Linked DNA regions of Cricetulus griseus. The protein of the gene in region 1 interacts with the protein of each later gene in a pairwise test. Links are inferred from orthologs where the notes say so. Each region holds a gene or a part of one and is shown in the gene's direction. Other genes may lie near its edges.

Region 1 (4,063 bases):
GGCTCAAGTCTTTAATCCAGCACTCTGAAGCAGGTGGATCTCTGAGTTCAAAGTTGGGCTAGTCTTCATGGCAAGTTCCAGGCCAGTGAGGGCTACAGAGGGGGACCTTGTTTTGTTTTAAAAAACAAAGGCTGAAACAGTACTCTTGAAAATCCCAGCACCCATGTGGCAACTCATAACCATCTGTAACTCCAGTTCTAGGAAATCTGATGCCCTCTGGCCTCCAAAGATATCAGACACACATGTGGTTCATACACATGTAGACAAAACACTCGAATAAAAAATAAAAATAAACCTAAAGGGGGAGAAAGGCAAGAAAGCAGTCCTGATGAATCAGCTTCCTGATGAGGCAAAGAGATGACAAATTCAAGGCCAAGCTGGCCATATTAGGGACGTTTTGTCTCAAAATGAAAAGGCTGGGCTGTAGCTTGGCAGTAAAGTGTCTATCTGGAATTGACTAGTGGGGCTGGTGTGTGGTTCAGCAGGAGAGCACTTGCCTAGAATCCACCAGTGAAAGATTATTGACAGTGTGGCTCAGTGACAAACGAGTGTGGAGGCAGGGAGAGCAAGGCTGAAAGTGGTTCAGACGGCCAGCAGTCCAAATTCGGGATAAAATGGGCAGTCTCCAGGCAGTGTGGGAGCCAGTTCAGCTTGGTATTCAGTCCCAGGCAGAGTGAAAGCTGTTTCTAGATAACAAGACACAAAGGCAAGGCAAGTCCCAGGCAGAGACCACAGTAGGAGTAGTGGGTTAGAGTTGCTAGAAGATAGAGCATGATTTGGAGAGAAAGCAGCTGGCCCAGGCCACACTGTGCCTCTGTTGCCAGAAAAAAGCAGGCTCTGCCTCAAGGTGATGGGGAACCATGGCCAGGCAGATCAGCTCTGCAGCCTGTGGGGATGCACTGGAGCCTGGAAGGAGGCTGGGACGTGGGCCCAGGGAGAACAAGGACCCAAGGCAAGATTGAGGACGGCAAGAGGAGCACAAAGTGGAGTCTCTAGGACAGGCATGATGACTTGCTAGGTTACAGGGGAGAGAGGTGGCCACAAGCCCTAGGGGCAGCAGTTGACCCCACCCTCTTGTCTCCTGCTTTGATCTTGCCGCCTGCTCCCCATCCCATACCTCAAATCCATAGCAACAGGTTGGAGTTGGGATGGGCATGGCAAACAGGTTCTGAGAACCCTGGGGCAGAGATGGAGCAGTTTAGCGGTGGCTAGTCTGAGGAAGCCATTACTTTGCTTGTCCTTCTAGGAGCTGTCTGGGCAGGCTGTTCCTTTCCCAACCCTCCTATCAGTGGAGGAAGGGTGAGAGCTTCACCAGCTGCAACAGAGAAACAGGAGTGGTCCATGGACCTGCCAGAGGACCCGGCTAGTAGTTCCACTGCACAAAGTAGGTGTCTGCCTGGAAGAGGAGGAAGTGGGAGCTGCGGGCCAGTGTGGGAGCAGGAGAGGTGGCCAGGCAGCGTGGTCAGAAGCAAAGGATGGTGGGAGAAGTGTCGATTGTGTGCTTGCCACGTGTCTGTCCCCATTTGCTCCTCTCTGGAGGGCTATTGGGGACAGAAGGCTGTGCACATGGTAATATCCACACCATCCCACCTCTTCCCACCAATTCCTCCTCTGTTCAGATCGTGGGCTAGTGAGATCTCTTACTTGGGGTAAAACAGGTTCCCTGCCCCGTCTCTTCCTGCTGCACTTCTCTTCCCAACACTGGCATCTGTCTGTCACCTACTTAGTCTAAGACTCTCCCCTGGAGCATGGCTCCTCAAAACCTATTCTACTCCCAGTGTGTGTGTGTGTGTGTGTGTGTGTGTGTGTGTGTGTGTGTGTGTGTGTGTGTGTGTGTGTGTGTGTGTGTGTGTGTGTGTGTGTGTGTGTGTGTGTGTGTGTGTGTGTGTGTGTGTGTGTGTGTGTGTGTGTGTGTGTGTGTGTGTGTGTGTGTGTGTGTGTGTGTGTGTGTGTGTGTGTGTGTGTGTGTGTGTGTGTGTGTGTGTGTGTGTCTTACAGTGCAGGAGGTGAAATCCAGGGTTTTGTGTGTGCTAGGCAACCAATCACCACTGAGCTATGTTCAGCTGTGCTGACCTCTGGGTTTTTGGTTTTTTGAGACAAAATCTGGCTTTGAACTTTTCACCCCTCTACCTCTGTTTCTCAAGTGTTGAGATTACAAGCATGCTCTCCACCATGCTCAGCTCACATATATAACTTTTAATTTTTTTAAAAGAGAAAAGCTGGCAAGGGGCTCATATCTGTAGTCCTGGAACTGAGGGGCTGAGGCAAGAAGATAGAAAGTTAAAGGCCAAATCAAGCAGGTGATGCAAATGGTATTAACTGATTTTATTTAGCTTTGTATGCATATAAACTGTTTTCTGCATTAAGCAGCATAAGAACATGCTGAGTTACTCCTGTTTTCCGACATCTTTGAGAACTAGTATGTGATGTTTCACACTAACACTGTTCCATCTTGGCCTGCTCAAGTGCAGGCAGCCTGTGCCGACTGGTGCTGCTAGCCAGAGCAATGCCGGCTTCATTGTGGAAGCTCAGTGCCTTGTGGGCAGATTCAGATACGTAGGTGTGGGAGCCAGCACACATCAGCTCAGGGAGGAAGGTGCTGGCTAACCGACTGTCTTCTGTGGGCCAGCCTCTGTCTCTGTCTCTCACTCCTGTTCTCTTTCCTGCCTATCTTTGTCTCTGCCCTGACTCAGCAACTCTGTTCCCCAAGAAGCTCTCTCCTTCCTCTACTGTCCTGGTCTCCCCCCTCACCTCATCTCTGATTTCTGACTCTCCATCCCCTGAGGATGAGCTAGAAGGGAAAGCCAGCCTCTGATTAAGAAGCTCTTTCCTCTAGATAGTCAGTTGGGGTCACTGCTGGAGTATCTTGTCTTCCAGGCTCCTGGATGTTTACAGGCAGGCCTGCAGCTTTGCTCAAAGCTGAGATTTGCACATCAGCCTCAGGAGTAACCTCTGCAAATAGGAGGGTTTTCAGGCAGACCAGCATGCCAGGACTAGAGAGAGGGCTGCCTGGCTTACGGGGAATGACCGCCATCTAAACCTCGCCTGCACCAGCAGAGGGCGTGCAGCCACCAGGAACTAGGACCATAGCCAAGTCAATTCCTGAGACTGCCTTTGGGAAGGGAATAACTCAGCCACAGGAAAAGCAAGGGATAAAAGACAGAGATGGCAAAGTAGAGAGAAGGCACTAGGAACAGAGTAACAAGATGGAAGACAGGAGAAAACAGGATGGAGGGACACAGGACAGAAGCTGGACATGTGAGAGAGGTTGGGGAAGAAGTGGAAGAAATATCTCAAAAGAAGTAGAGCTGGGGACCCAGCAGAGGCCGAGGCAGAGGCAGGTGGGTCTCTGTGAGTTCAAGGCCAGCCTGGTCTATAGTCCAGCAGAGGCAGAGGCAGAGGCAGGTGGGTCTCTGTGAGTTCAAGGCCAGCCTGGTCTATAGTCCAGCAGAGGCAGAGGCAGAGGCAGGTGGGTCTCTGTGAGTTCAAGGCCAGCCTGGTCTATAGTCCAGCAGAGGCAGAGGCAGAGGCAGGTGGGTCTCTGTGAGTTCAAGGCCAGCCTGGTCTATAGTCCAGCAGAGGCAGAGGCAGAGGCAGGTGGGTCTCTGTGAGTTCAAGGCCAGCCTGGTCTATAGTAGTTAGTTCCAGGACAGCCAGGGCTACACAGAAAAAACTTTTCAGAAAAAAAAAAAAGATAGAAGCAGGGGCAGAGCTGTGAAGTGGAGGAGGAAGGAGAGGGCAGAAAGAGTGTCTTAGGGTAGTGTCTCTATGTATCAGTGTCCTCACTGGGCCACAGAGTCCTCCTTTGTTACACTGGATGATGAAGAGCAGTAGACCAGCTGAAGTCCACCTCCCCTAACTATCCTGGGCTCCTAGAGCCCTCCCATGGGAGCCAGAAAAGGTCCAAATCAAACTGGTGCAATGAGTCCTGAAGTGTCAGGGGGAGAAAGGGGATTCTTGTGCTGGAAGGCAACTGTGGCAGCTTCTGTTGCTCTGCCTCAGACTCATCTTTAGGAATAGCAGCTGCTGTGGTTCTGATGATCCATGAGTGCCTGTAGTTATG
Region 2 (4,170 bases), on another chromosome or scaffold:
GTAGTACTCACCTAGACCAGAAGAGGGTGCCAGAGACTCTGGAATTGGAGTTTCAGTGCATGATGAGCTGCCAAGTGGGCCTTAATCCCCAAACCCCAGAGGGTTGAAGAGGGATCAGTGGCTAAGGGTGCTTGTTCTTGCAGAGGACCCAGTTTTGATTCCCAGAGCCCACATGGTAGCTCAGAACAAGAACTCCGGCTTCAGAGGATTCTGCACCCTGTCTGGGCCTCATCTGGTACCAGGCATACATCTGGTATGCAGATATATACACGCCCTGAGTGGTGACAAACACTCTGTGAGTTCAAGGCTGGTCTACATAGAGAATTCCAGGACATAGTGAGACCCTGTCTCAACCAAACAACCTGGATCCTTTGCAAGAAGAGCAGGTGCTTTTAAACACTGGGCCATCTCTCCAGCACCACCTCCCCCCTTTAAAGACACATAGGTCCCACATAGCCTAGTTCGGCCTCTTAACTCCTGACATAACACCTCATGAATTCCTCATCCTCCTGCCTCTACCTTTTGAGTGAGTGACGAGATTACAAACGTTCGCCACCATCTTTGTTCCCAGTTGGCCCTCAAGGCCCCAGGGTCTCAGTTCAGATCCTGCCACTATGGATACATAGCATTGAAATGGGGAAGGCTGCCTCTGTGCTGCCTCAGCCTTTGGGTGACGCCTCTTGCTTGGCACTGCATTTTCAGGAGCATGACATCTTTGCTCTGGACCCTGACCCCAAGGTTGTGTGGAGCTGTAAGAAGTGTAAGGGTGTCTGGTATTGGTGGCGCGCGCCTTTAATCCCAGCACTCGGGAGGCAGAGGCAGCAGAGGATCTCTGTGAGTTCAAGGCCAGACTAGACTACAGAGCGAGTTCAGGACAGCCAGGGCTGTTAACACAGAGAAACACTGTCTTGAAAAGCAAAACAAAATAAAACCAACAAAACAACAACAACAACAAAGTGTTAAGCGCGCATGCAACCAGCCACTGGGCAATTAGTCAAAGATGCCAAGTCTAGATAGACATGCAGTTAAGAACTTAGGGTCTAGAGAGATGGCTCGGTGGTTAAGAGACCAGAAGAGTTTGCATCCCAGCGCTCGCACAGTAGCTAACAACAGTCTATCTTACACCCTCTTCCAGCCTCTCCTGGCACAAGGAACACACGTGGTGCTCATAGTTACAAAACAGACACAACACGCATACACAAAGAAATAACTAATTTTTAAAATGTCTTGTAATCAAGTAAAAGTGCTAACTCTAGGGACTAAATTAATTCCTCAGTCGCCCTACTCCAGGAGCGGTAAGGCTGGCCAGAAAGACCAAGAACGCACGCGCGGAGGAGAAACCACAGAGTCGGTCCTCCCGGGATAGAGAGGCCGGAAGTGCTCGCGGAGCTGCACGCCGGGTGCTGGAAGCCTACTGAGCCCCGAGGAAGGGCTCCGCTCGGGGCTTGGCGTGGTGGGTGAGCCGGAGGGTCGGCGTGAGCGGCCTGGGCTTTGGTTCTGAACGATGGCGTCTCGGGCAGGCCCGCGAGCGGCCGGCACCGACGGCAGCGACTTTCAGCACCGGGAGCGCGTCGCCATGCACTACCAGATGAGGTATGAGGTGAGCCAGGAGCACTGAGGCCTTCCCCGGGAGGAGCCTGCGGGTCTCGGGAAGCGACGCGGGCGAGCCTCACGGTGCCGCTCCCCCAGCCAGCTGTCGCGTACTACCGGGTCCCCGGCTCCGGCGAGCGCCTCGGGTCTGTTTACAGGCCGGGAAGCCCAGTGGCCTGCCCTCGCCCGCCTCGTGCTTTGAGGGGATCTGGCCTGCAGAGGCTCAGGGGTCGATGCTCAGCCCCTCTGAATGACCTTGGAGACATCATTTTTCTTTTTTCAAATCGAGGTCCCGCAGTGTCTAGAGTTCAGGCTGGCCTGGAACTCACGGCCTTCCCTCCTCAGCCTCCCGAGTATGCGCCTGGTCTGAAAACTAACATTCTTAAAGAAAACTGCGTGCGTGTGTGTGTGTGTGTGTGTGTGTGTGTGTGTGTGTGTGTGGTCTGAAAACTAACATTCTTAAAGAAAACTGCGTGTGTGTGTGTGTGTGTGTGTGTGTGTGCGCGCGCGTGTGTTTGTGTGTGTGTAAGTTTGCCCACACGAGAGCAGGTGTGCTGGCAGAATGCAGTGCCAGTAAAGGGTGTGTGTGTGTGTGTGTGTGTGTGTGTGTGTGTGTGTGTGTGTGTGTGTGTGTGTGTGTGTGTGTGTGTGTGCGCGCGCGTGTGTGTTTGTGTGTGTGTAAGTTTGCCCACACGAGAGCAGGTGTGCTGGCAGAATGCAGTGCCAGTAAAGGGTGTGGTGTGTGTGTGTGTGTGTGTGTGTGTGTGCGCGCGCGTGTGTGTTTGTGTGTGTGTAAGTTTGCCCACACGAGAGCAGGTGTGCTGGCAGAATGCAGTGCCAGTAAAGGGTGTTGGATCTCTTGGAGCTATAGTTACAGACGTGTTTAAATCCACCTGAGACTAGTACTGAGGACCAAACCCCGAAGTGATTTTGTGAGATAGCGGCTTGGTATGGGGTCCATGCTAGCCTCCAGGAGCGGCAGGTGCTCTTAACCACTGAGCCATCTCTCCAGTCCCCAGGCTGTCTTGGAACTTGCTCTGTAGACCAGACTAGAAATCAGAGATCTGCCTGCCTCTGCTGCCAAGTGCAAGGATTAAAGGTGTACACCACAGCCGCCCTGTTGACCCTGTCTTTAGGAAGATGTCATGTGTACTTTACAAAGAGTTTTGATGTAGTCATGTCTTAAGCTTTGTTGTCACACAAGATGAAATTAATTACCACCAGGGAATTTTTCATCAAATTGTGCTGTACTTAAATATGCCTAAAGTAAAATACTTGGGGTCAGACTCTTGAAGTTTAAACCAACACCAGGTACTGAGTTGTGTTGAACCCACACAACTACCTTGCCTCCTGCAGATTGTTAACTCTGCTGGCTGTGGTGGTTGAAGAGACCCCCACATTGGCTTAGCTGTTAAGAGCACTTGCTGTTCTTGGAGAGGGTCTAAACTCAGTTCCCAGCACCGACATCAGGAGGCTCACAACCAAACACCTGCAACTCCGGTTCCAGGGGTTCCGATGCCCTCTGGCTTCCCGACAGCACAGGCGTGTGCGTGGTGCACACACATACACATGAGATAAATTTTTAAAAAGAAAGAAAAGCCAATCTGGGTCCTGCCTTCAAGGAGCTTGAGTGCCAGAAGTGATTCTTTTCTCCTTACCTCCCACATTTCCTATAACAAATTAATTTTCCCCTTAAATCCACTGAATTATTCAACTGGTTCTTGGCCTCTTTCTGTACAGAAGGATGACAAGCCCTTTGGACCCTTCTTTTTCAACTTTAGGCCCCTGCCTAATGGATGCTCTTGTTTTCATGCGTACCTAGAGCAGACACCTTGCTTGTGACAATATGAAAAGGATATAATTGAGACCCCGAGAAGATCAGGACTAAGAGATGTGCCTCCTTCTCATGGAAACTATATCTGGAGAAATACAGGGAGCCCAAACTGTGTTCCTTGTTGCTAGGCCTCCCCCTAATGGCCTTTGTTTCTGTGATACGAAGCCATCTTTCTAACCACAGCTCAGAATTCTTGTCATGGCTTGGTGAGATAATGTCTTAGTACGTTGTCCAGGCCAACCTCCAATCAGAGATCCTCTGCCTCAGCCTCCCAGGTGCCATTACTGTTCTTCAGTCTTGAAGTCTACACATGCATGGTCTTTGTAACTGTTACTACCTCTCTGTGCCTTGGCAGTTGATTTCCTGAAACACAAATACTAAAAAGCTTATTCCTTTGTGCCTGCATGTTTTTGCCTCTGCGTAGAAGCCCACTTCCACTCGTCTCATTACCTCTGCTGAAATAGCTCTCTCCTCTAGATATAACCTTCTCTGGCTTTCCATCTCATGCTAATTGGTTCTTCCCTGGGATAGCGGATATCTTCGGTTTATATGTATTTACTTGAGTTTTATACTTCATGTTTCCCAGCCTCTATCAGAGGCTGTGTCATTCAGATTGTATCTATGTGTCCAGTACCGGTGCCTGGTGGTCGGAGCAATTTAAATGAAAATTGCTTCTCCCTCTGCTCTGCCTTACAGTGTGACGCTCAAGAGTGAAATCAAGAAGCTGATCTACGTACATCTGGTCA
Region 3 (4,011 bases), on another chromosome or scaffold:
TCTACCCTGTATAGCCTTATTGCTGAGGGTGAGGGACTCCAGAACACAACTGCACTGGTTTCTAGGTCAAAGTAGTGGTGTCCAGAGAAATTATTTTTCTGCCAATCTCTTTCCTTGTCCCTGATTCCTGAGTTTCTTTCTCACTCATCAGGATGAGCCCCAAGAACCTCAAGAGCCCAACATGGTACCCCCAGAAGACACAGAGACAGATGAACTTTGGGCATCTTTGGAGGCAAATGCCAAGCGGAAGCTCCCTGATTTAAATCAGATACAAGGGACTCTCCAAACAAGAAAAAAAAAGAAGCGGCCTGGATCCTCCAGTCCTTGAAGACTTTTGCTATTTTGTTAATAAACAGCCCAACACACACAGAGACCCTGAACCTTTTGTGATGGGAGAAAGGAGAGGTGGCTTGTGGGTGGGAGGGGTTCCCTCACCCGGGCTGTGGGAGACCTGACGTCACAAAAGCTGGGTCCAGAGCTAAGCAGGCTGGGGAGGGTGGCAGAGTCCTGCGCCTCTCGGGGCCATGGGCTGCTGTCAAGACAAGGACCATCAGACCTCTGATGAGCATGCAAGGGAGGAAGTGACCGACGAAGGTAGGCAAGGTAGGCCCAGATTCAAAAAAGGGTCAGGGAGCTGGATTGGGAATGGGAGTGGGAGGTGCCCAGAATGGACGGCCTAAAGAGACTGGACTAGAGAGGAGAACTGAACTAAGTGGCCTCGTGGCCCTTGCAGACAACGAAGTCAATTTGGACAACGCAGGCCGCCGCAAACAAAGATCTAACGAAAGTCTTCTGATCACCGTGCTGTGGCGCAGGCTATCCATGTTCAGCCGTCGGGGGTCCTCACGGTCAAGCAAGAGGCTCTCAGACCTGACTCAAAAGCAGGAGAGTCAGATCCAGGAGCGCAAACGTGAGGGAAGCCACAAGGAACCAGAAAAGGGCTGACTCCAATCCTGCTCTCGTCCTCCCCAACATCCAGAGAATAAAATTAATATTGTGGATCTGCCGAAAACATGCCTCTGCCTCCACATCTGTAGGCGCCGAGGCGCTGGCTCTTTAAGACTCCTCTGGCCCAGCCCTCTGGGATCTGTTTCTGCTCTTCAGGGGCGGGGCCACAGCGGCAGTTTAACCAATAGGAGAGCGGAGTCGAGCATGCAAGGGCAGAGGTGTGTTCTTCCTGTCTCTGGGCTTAAAAAAATAGGCGTGGCGCGGCATCACGTCACGGGGGTGGGGTTACGTGTGGGTGACGTGGCGGCTCCTGCTCTTTGCTCCGATTTGGGTGGCTTACAAGTCCAGCGAGGAGGCGGCGACGGCCTGGAGAGAGTGGCAGTGGCGGCGGCGGTAGGCAACAGAGGAGGTAGGGCTTCGTTGGGGTAGGGGGCCAGTTTCTGTCGGTCGTCTCAGCTCGGGGGCAGCGGCTTGACGGTGGGGGAGGGGGGAGAAGGGAGCCATGGGCAAGCCCTGCTGGCGGCTCCGCGTAAGCGAATACCTTGCTGTCCAATCAGGAAAGGCCTTGTTGAGAAAGACGCCGGCCCTGTCCAATCAGTGGCTGCAGTCTTCCAACAGGCGGAACTTTGATGGAGGTGGGACTTCCTGTTTCAAATAAACACTTAAAGAGGTTTTCCCCCCCTCCGCCCACCGAAGTGTGTCCACCTTTGGAGGTCGGTTGCCGTTTTTCCGTGAGGGAGTTAAGGAAGTCACGTATACCAGAGGGCACGATTAAGATCTGGGCCAACTGCAAAGGTCTGGCTGGAGGCTCAGGGCCGCAGGACCAGGCTTTGGCTGTTTTCTCGACTTTAGGGCCCCAGCCGGTGCTTTGGCCGTCAGAGCCAAGTTGGAAGGAGATTCTGAGGAGGCTTCGCCTTGGGCCTGGAGGAAGCTGACCCTTCTCGCCGTGGCCGGGCTGCAAGATCTACGGGTGGCCTTGGGCTCGAAAGCCTGTCAAATACGGGAAAGGGCCTGAGGATTTGCTAGTTGAGGGGAAAGCTTTGGGGAACGAGGCTGTCTGGAGAATGACATTCTCCTCTCCACAGCAGTCCGAGGTTATGCGACTCGATGATCCCGCGGAAACGCTACGGATCTAAGAACACAGATCAGGGTGTCTACCTGGGTCTCTCAAAGACACAGGTTCTGTCCCCTGCAACTGCTGTCAGTAGCAGCAGCGACATCACTCCTTTGCCCACCCCGGTGGCCCTGGTCCCTTCCCCTCCCGACACCATGTCCTGCCGGGATCGGACCCAGGAGTTCCTGTCTGCCTGTAAGTCGCTGCAGAGCCGTCAGGTAAGGACCTGGAGTGGAAAGGCAGGTGTGAGCCTAATTAATGCTTACGTTTTGTCTGCTAGTTGTCTAAATTTACTTTACAACAAAGATTAGCGAATCTTACCAATAGGAGTGGAGGAATTGTCTTCAGCAGGGATTAAGAAAAGATTAAATACCACGAACGATGAGTCAAGATTTAAACCTACATATAATTTTTTTTTCTTAGCTATAAACCACTGATAAATTTAGATTGTCTGATGCCAACAGCACTGGAGTGTTTAGTGGATATGTGAGGGAGCAGTGAAAAGCTGAGCATGAATAGTGAAGAGAACTAAAGTATCCACTTTTTGACATTACCTTTCAGAATGGAATCCAAACAAATAAACCAGCTCTACGGGCTGCCAGACAACGCAGTGAATTTACCCTTATGGCCAAGTGAGTTAAGAGAGTCTTTGGGGGGGGGTGGTAATACAATGTCTAGGAAGTTAATTTGCCTGTGTTGGTTAGGCTGAATGGGATTGGTTGTGTTGGAGCTTATGGGAATTAGCCTCTTTCCTGCCCTTTACCACAGCCTTCTCACTGATGATCATTTGCAGGCGCATTGGAAAAGATCTCAGCAATACATTTGCCAAGCTGGAGAAGCTAACAATCTGTGAGTGTTTGGTAGATCTTTCCTAGATGGGACAGTGAAACATAGTACTAGGAAGTGAGGATCGTGCAGTTTTTGTTTTATTTTCTCCTATGGTGCTGGGGATTTTAAACTAGGACTTTGTGCATTAAAGCAAGTGCCTCTACCACTGAACTGTATTCTTAGCCCTTTGAGCCTTGTTATTACCATCACCTGTTGTAACACTTCATCTGTCTCTGCAGTGGCAAAGCGCAAGTCCCTCTTTGATGATAAAGCAGTAGAAATTGAGGAGCTAACATACATCATCAAACAGGTGAGCTGCTAGCCATCAGGAGAGCCCAGCATTCTAATTAGATTACTTCCATCATTTTCCATCGCCATGAATCCCCAGGGTAAGTATCTAGACCCATGTCCAAACACCCTGCTCCTCCACTGAGTCCATAGACACTTAGGATCATCTAGCATTTGTAAAGTACTGTTCTGTATGCTGATGGAACAAATGAGAAGCAAGATTATTGTCTTTAAGGGTTCATTCTTCTTAAGAGTTACCCAGCATCAGGAGCCTAGGCTTAAAATGAGTAAGTGATAGTATAGAAAAGATTTTACAAAAAGATGAATGAAATAGTATGCTGGGAAAGATTGACAGAGGATATGAAATCTGAACTGGATTCGGAGGTTATATAGAGGAAATAGAAGGACTTACCAGTCTGAGGAGTTTATTTACAGAGGTGTTGATTAGAAAAGGGGGAAGGTCAGCTGAGAGTAGTGATGAACACCTTTAATCCCAGCACTCTGGAGGCAAAGGCAGGCAGATCTCTGAGTTCTAGGCCAGCCTGGTCCACAGAGTGAGCTCCAGGACAGCCAGAGTTGTAAGTTTATTCTCTATAATTACCTTACGTTTGTTTGATTTCATTCCCTGTATCCTTTCTACTTTTCTAAAAGAGAAGGAAAAAACAAAGGGGCAGGGCAAAAGATTTGCAGATACCTCAGGAGCAGGTTCTTTGTTTTGGTTTCAAGACTCTAGATATATAGCCCAGTCTGGTATTTTTGTTTAAGTCAGGGTTTCTCTGTATATCCCTGGCTGTTCTGGAACTTGCTGTATAGACTAGGTTAGTCTTGAACTT

Evidence for each region. The genes of interacting proteins can lie anywhere in the genome.
Region 2: the proteins of Kash5 (region 1) and Jagn1 interact in binary tests that used the Homo sapiens proteins (3 or more experiments, as listed by UniProt). The two-hybrid records come from large-scale screens. The link is inferred for Cricetulus griseus from reciprocal best matches to the Homo sapiens genes KASH5 and JAGN1.
Region 3: the proteins of Kash5 (region 1) and Stx5 interact in binary tests that used the Homo sapiens proteins (3 or more experiments, as listed by UniProt). The two-hybrid records come from large-scale screens. The link is inferred for Cricetulus griseus from reciprocal best matches to the Homo sapiens genes KASH5 and STX5.

The regions. Positions count from the first base shown.
Region 1 is NC_048599.1:154,093,337-154,097,399, reverse strand, and holds the start of Kash5 (protein KASH5), read left to right. Parts: upstream 1-1,263; 5' UTR 1,264-1,341; coding exon 1,342-1,384; intron 1,385-4,063. UniProt on the Homo sapiens protein: As a component of the LINC (LInker of Nucleoskeleton and Cytoskeleton) complex, involved in the connection between the nuclear lamina and the cytoskeleton.
Region 2 is NC_048601.1:31,352,355-31,356,524, reverse strand, and holds the start of Jagn1 (protein jagunal homolog 1), read left to right. Parts: upstream 1-1,370; 5' UTR 1,371-1,504; coding exon 1,505-1,593; exon of another isoform or gene 1,594-1,595; coding exon of another isoform or gene 1,596-1,600; intron 1,601-4,120; coding exon 4,121-4,170. UniProt on the Homo sapiens protein: Endoplasmic reticulum transmembrane protein involved in vesicle-mediated transport, which is required for neutrophil function.
Region 3 is NC_048596.1:51,355,579-51,359,589, reverse strand, and holds the start of Stx5 (syntaxin-5), read left to right. Parts: upstream 1-1,211; 5' UTR 1,212-1,357; intron 1,358-1,524; exon of another isoform or gene 1,525-2,033; 5' UTR 2,034-2,055; coding exon 2,056-2,280; intron 2,281-2,623; coding exon 2,624-2,694; intron 2,695-2,855; coding exon 2,856-2,911; intron 2,912-3,129; coding exon 3,130-3,200; intron 3,201-4,011. Other genes in the region: Wdr74 (WD repeat-containing protein 74), read left to right, coding at 152-328; testis-expressed protein 54-like, read left to right, coding at 525-603, 734-945. UniProt on the Homo sapiens protein: Mediates endoplasmic reticulum to Golgi transport.